Kluyveromyces lactis: one gene and its partner. Each later gene encodes a partner of the first gene's protein in a complex. Links are inferred from orthologs where the notes say so. Each region holds a gene or a part of one and is shown in the gene's direction. Other genes may lie near its edges.

Region 1 (2,769 bases):
TCTGTTCTTCTGTCATTTCGGCGCCCTTATTGGCCCTCTTGTAGTAGTTCTTAATGACATAACTAGTAATCGGGTCATCTTTAATATCAGTCACGCTGGGCGTGTTCATGACATTCGGCATTCTAAAATATAAGTAATATCCCGCTCAGCAGGTTTGTGTGTATGCAACAGAGCAAAGCGTATGTAAGCTTATTATCTGATGCTATGCTTCGTGCCCTTTATAGGTTGATTAGACCACATCAACAGAATCCTTTCAAGCAAATCAGTCATGTGGTGGTTATTAAAGTGTCATTCTTTGCTTTGTTTCCTTTGCATGTTTCCTTAAAGGTTTCAACGCCGTCAACAGTGATTGGGCATCGGTGTTACAACATCAAGCTGGTTAAAGAAGGACGATAAGGGTGTCACAATGGGTTAGTAAGGGTTCATTTATGGCTGTGCATGGTTTAATCCATGCTGGGCTATCTATACATACCGATAGATATGAGCTTTCTCGGGGCGGAATGATCTTTATGCCCTTCAATCTGAACGATTCCGATCGATTGATTTCCGAGACATAGTCTTCAACTGATTGCAACGGGTTAACGAACAGGTATGGCTCGATGATACTCCATAAGTTCAGTGTCAAGAGGTCCAATATGACGTTGACAAAATTTCTTCTGGTTATTGGGTTGTATGCAGCCTCTAAGAGTGAATTGATTCGAGTTACAATTTCAGTCCATTCCGCTTGATCCAAATAGTTTGATAATGGGCTCACTGACGTTTCGCCATACCATTGGCCTTCAAACTCTCCTGCCGGAACGAACTCCTTGTTGTGAGTATCTGGTAAGGCTGCTGGTTCAGACCCAGGTAACTGTGTGCTGAAATTAGGAAATTCTGTGGATGACTCAAACCTTCTGGGAATTCGAACGACTCTAGTGGTTCTAAATTCATCGCTTTCTTCAGGTACGTATATGTTTGGAAAATGGGTGATGCAGATTGGATTCTCAGGTCCATGCTCTTCGCATGATTCCTCATCTAGTGCTCTGTACTTTGTAATCACAAATTCATGGTAATTGAAGAATTTCGGTTGTTGTGCAGAAGTTGATTCTTCAACGGTAATCGCAGCTTTAGATAGATCTGAACTGTCTGCAGTATCTGCCAGTACCAGTGATACCATTTGTGTTGCAATGTTACCTGGTAGAATGCCGTTTCTACCTCTTATTTCCCGTATTGATCTGATATCGTTCGTGTTTTTACCCTTTTATGTAGGAATTGAAATAAATTTAACGGAATTGATATTTATGTTCAGATTAACACTAACACAAGTTAGACATCTAATGAAGAGATGTATAAGGGAGTATAAGGAACTAAACTACTACAATATCGCACATCCCACCTCCAATCATGTCTGAACTTGATTTCGTTGGTAAATTTTTGAGTTTGGCCGCTTTGAATGAGCCAAAACTTGCATCGAACTACCGCAAACCATTACATGAAGTTACAAACCTTGGTGTTTCGTTGCCCCCATTGAGGTACAAATATGATCCAAGTAAATCACATTCTAAGAGTATCTCTAAAGTTGTAGAAGTTACCATCAAATCGATCAAAGCGCCTAAATTTGTTCATTCCAAAAGCTTCGAATCTACCGATACCGTGGGTCAGATCAAGGAATTCTTAGTGGAAACCGAGCCTGAGATATATACAACTGGTCAAATCAAGTTGTTGTTAAAGGGTAAAGTCCTCCACGACACTCAATTGGTCTCCGATTTGAACCAGGATAAAATATCCCTTGTCGCAATGGTTTCCAAAGCAGAGAAACCTGTGGAAACAGCACCTTTGCCGAAACCAGCGCAGGAACCTGAACCTGAACTTGAGTTGATGGATGTCGATATGGAGGATCCACAGTTGGATCTTTCATCTCAAACAGATATTGATTTGCCTTGGGATAAAATTAGAACCGTTTTAGAGAGTAGCTTGGATGCTAGCACGGCCTCAGTGGCCCTTGGAAGGCTACAGAAAGGTTGGGAGTTGAGTAAGTAAAAGATAGAACATGTCATTTGTTGGTCCATAATGCAAAACAACCCGGTTATATATGTAGTGATTTTATACTTTTAGATATTTCTGCTCTTTCTTCCATTGGTGATGAGAGAATTACCTCTTTCTGCTCAATCTACGTACTCTTTCTTTGATGTTATTATTCCAATTTACCCCATTTAAACCCTTCTTGAATCCGTATCCTTCGTTAGAAAAGGTTTCATTGATCAGTTCCTGTGCCAATTTGGAGTCTCTCTTATTATTGGAGTTGGTGGTTTCATTCTTCATTACATCTTGGAAGTTCTTGTATTTGGCTCTTTGAGAGATAACGTACTTCTTACATCGTTCGATTTCCTCTTGATTGAGTGCATTGAATCTCAATCTCCTCTTGAAGATGGCTTTGTCTATAATATCGTTGGGGTTTATCAACCGTCTAGGGTATGTTTGAATAGCTTGGAATAATTCCATGTCTTCATCGTCTGAGTTTCGGCTGCTAACGTGATTTAATTTTGGTAAATTGGTCTCGCTTAGTTCGATGATCGCTAACGACATCTTGAAAAGAATGTGTGAACCCTCATAGAAGAGACAATCCCATATACGTAAGGTAGCTTCAATAGGTACTACTCCTATGAAACAGCTCATGAACCAACTGGCAGTACAGAGTGTGACTGGTGGCAACTTATAGAGAAATTCGTTCTTATTGGATAGGCCGGGACTGTGTTGTTGATCTTTATTGGAATATATTCTTTGCCAAAA
Region 2 (3,164 bases), on another chromosome or scaffold:
CAGGGGTATCTTTGAAGATAAAGTTGCGAATTTTTGGTGCGTTTCTAATATTTTCATCAAATATAGAAATCTATTCACTCAGAAGGATCTTCAATTATACTCATTACTCGCAACAGTTATTGGGCTTTTACCATCATTCATTATAACATTTTTATACCCGAAGAGACATTTACTACCATATGCTTTGGCCGCATGTTCGATGTCATTCTTCTTATTCAGCTTCCAGGTTCATGAAAAGACAATCTTATTACCTTTACTTCCTATTACACTCTTGTACACGTCAAGAGATTGGAATGTTCTATCATTGGTTTGTTGGATTAACAACGTGGCATTGTTTACACTCTGGCCATTACTGAAAAAGGACAATCTAGTATTGCAATATGGAGTCATGTTCATGTTTAGCAATTGGTTGATCGGTAACTTCAGTTTCGTCACACCACGCTTCCTCCCAAAATTTTTGACACCAGGGCCATCCATCAGTGATATAGATGTTGATTATAGACGGGCAAGTTTACTACCCAAGAGCCTAATATGGAGATTAATCATTGTTGGCTCATATATTGCAATGGGGATTATTCATTTTCTAGACTATTACGTCTCCCCGCCATCAAAATACCCTGATTTATGGGTGCTTGCCAATTGTTCCTTGGGCTTCTCATGTTTTGTGACATTTTGGATATGGAACAATTATAAATTATTCGAAATGAGAAACAGCACTTTGCAAGATTTATAGATGTTAAAATTTATAATAGCAGTAATGATACGGGGCGTACCTTGCAAGAGCAAAACCGGGATATATATTTCACTCCTCTGTTTAATCATTTAGGATTCTACTTACACTTTAATTAGTATTCATATATCGAATGTCAGTTTCGATCAAAAATAAACAAAGACAAAAAGCACCAGTATAAGACTCGTAAATGAGAAAAACAATTCTTCGTAATGAAATTCAATATAGTAAAACTCTCCATGCTGGATGCACCGTATTTGTGTAACGGCATACTCACTAAATAGGTAAAGTCTGAATATTACTTTAAAAGTATCATATGATCTGTTGTAGCTGTTATATAGAACGAAAAGTAGTAACCGTCACGAAATCTTATTCCTCGTGGCCCAATGGTCACGGCGTCTGGCTACGATGTTAGCTACTTCTGAAACCAGAAGATTCCAGGTTCGAGTCCTGGCGGGGAAGATTTTGTTTTTGATTAACTTTTTCCTTCTTTCAAGGAGCCAGCAACTCTTTGAACTTCCTTTCCATGGTTGATGGTTCCAAACTATTAGTAGCTTCTATCAAATATCACTACTTCTCAATTAAGACGGCACGAGTCAGCTTAAAAATGCTAACGATGTGAAATTGACGTGTCTCTGTGAATCTTTCGTCTTCTGTTGCCTTCTCTAACCGAAGGTTTTTCCGTACTTATCATTTTTTCGCCATTCACATTCAGGAAAAAGTTTATTATAATAGTGCTTAAATGACAAGTTGCCTGGATTTTATGTACTTTCAAAGAAGAGTTATCATTGACTCGTCCTTTGTTACTGCTTCATCTTATCGTATACAGCGGTTTGTGATCCTTATTTCATCTTAAAGCACTGTCAAAAGTTTAGAAAATCCGAATGTCCCTATCTAATAAGGAAATTGCTGCTTTGATTGTTGACTTTTTGTCATCATCGTCTTCTTCAGTAAACGAAGACTATGTTGATTCGTTGAATGTTGCCATCGACTGTATCACTGAGGCCTTCCAATTTGAAAGAGATGAGACTGATTCTTTAATCTCTGGTCCTTTTAATGGCAAGAAATTACCTGAACTATTAGCCTCAGCTCCCTCTTCTGGAGGCGTTTCTGGTGAACCAGTGAAGGTTCATATTCCAGTTGAAGATGCAGCAGCTAAGGCCAAGGCTGAAGAATTAAAGCTACAGGGTAACAAGGCCATGGCTGCTAAGAAATTTGATGAGGCTATTGAAAAATACACTGCTGCTATCGAAGTTTCTCCATCTAACGCTGTTTACTACTCGAACAGGGCTGCAGCTTATTCTTCTTTGAAGCAGTACGAACAGGCCGTTAAGGACGCCGAGCAAGCTATTGAAGTTGATCCTACATATTCTAAGGGTTTTTCTAGACTTGGATTTGCGAAGTATGCTTTGAATAAGCCTGAAGAAGCTTTAGATGCTTACAAGAAGGTCCTAGATATCGAAGGGGAAAAAGCTACTGACGTTATGAAAAGAGATTACGAAACTGCCAAGAAGAAGGTAGAAACCTCAATGAACTTAGAGAAGAGCTCTACCAGCGCTTCTTCTGAAGATGTTTCTGACAAATCTGCGACTGAAGGTCCTGGTGCAGGCGCTGGTGGCTTACCAGATCTTTCAAGCTTGTTAGGTGGTGGCGGTCTAGGCGGTGGTTTAGGAGCACTGCTAAACAACCCTCAAGTTATGCAAGCCGCTGAAAAGATGATGCAAAATCCAGGTCTAATGCAGGATATGATGTCCAATCCAGCAATGAAGCAAATGGCCAACCAATTCTCATCTGGTGGCGGCATGCCAGATTTGAGTCAAATGATGAATGACCCATCTATTAGAGACATGGCCAAAAACATGTTTGGTGGCGGCAACGGCAGCCAGCAATAACCAGTATACCCAAACTTTTGCTTGTCCTTTTTGACTGTATATATTTGATCTATATATGACTAGTTAAACATGCCCTTTCATGGTATCAATCAATTGTTGCATGATTTGTTTATTTTCCCTGATTCTTTGATCAACTATGGATTTAACGATATGATCGTGGTAAAACTGCTCTTTGAATTCGATGAATAGATTTATCCCCACTGCGATCGATTCATGTGTTGTTTTGATTTCACCGCCAATTTTCTTAAGGTTCAAAGAGCTCATTTTCAGTTGATTGGATAACTTATTCCTAAATTTAGACCTTTTACCTTCAATGTAGGTATCTATAAAATTTCTGTTTGCTGAAGAAGGAGGCGCCTTGTCATTTGGGAAATTTTTCTTCCACTCTTTCTTCAGTTCCATTAATTCACCAAAATGTTTCCACCATAAAGTTGTCTTTGCGAGAAGAGACTCAAAGTTATTAAGTAAAGTGACAACAGAGTGCTCTAGATATTCCAAGTTTCGAGTAAACTCATAATATGAAAGATCATAAGACCAAGCGC

What was found.
Region 2: the proteins of MDY2 (region 1) and SGT2 are in contact, whole or in part, in an NMR structure (PDB 4ASW), measured with the Saccharomyces cerevisiae proteins. The link is inferred for Kluyveromyces lactis from reciprocal best matches to the Saccharomyces cerevisiae genes MDY2 and SGT2. Residues at the interface, in NP_014530.1 of Saccharomyces cerevisiae: Gln82, Lys118, Leu120, Gly123, Lys124, Val125, His127, Met147, Lys149, Asn151; in NP_014649.1 of Saccharomyces cerevisiae: Asp28, Gly29, Asp31, Ser32, Asn34, Val35, Asp38, Cys39, Glu42, Arg48.

What each region holds. Positions count from the first base shown.
Region 1 is NC_006037.1:674,419-677,187, reverse strand, and holds MDY2 (Mdy2p), read left to right. Parts: upstream 1-1,383; coding exon 1,384-2,019; downstream 2,020-2,769. Other genes in the region: TGL4 (triacylglycerol lipase), read right to left, coding at 1-121; SHR5 (Shr5p), read right to left, coding at 380-1,156; Rab GTPase-activating protein MSB3, read right to left, coding at 2,131-2,769. UniProt on the Saccharomyces cerevisiae protein: Required for efficient mating. Involved in the production of alpha-factor, the KAR9 and TUB1 location to the shmoo tip and nuclear migration into pheromone-induced shmoos.
Region 2 is NC_006040.1:104,305-107,468, reverse strand, and holds SGT2 (Sgt2p), read left to right. Parts: upstream 1-1,614; coding exon 1,615-2,622; downstream 2,623-3,164. Other genes in the region: ALG6 (dolichyl-P-Glc:Man(9)GlcNAc(2)-PP-dolichol alpha-1,3-glucosyltransferase), read left to right, coding at 1-733; KLLA0_D01133g (uncharacterized protein), read right to left, coding at 2,686-3,164. UniProt on the Saccharomyces cerevisiae protein: Co-chaperone that binds to the molecular chaperone Hsp70 (SSA1 and SSA2). Regulates Hsp70 ATPase activity. Required for recovery from heat shock.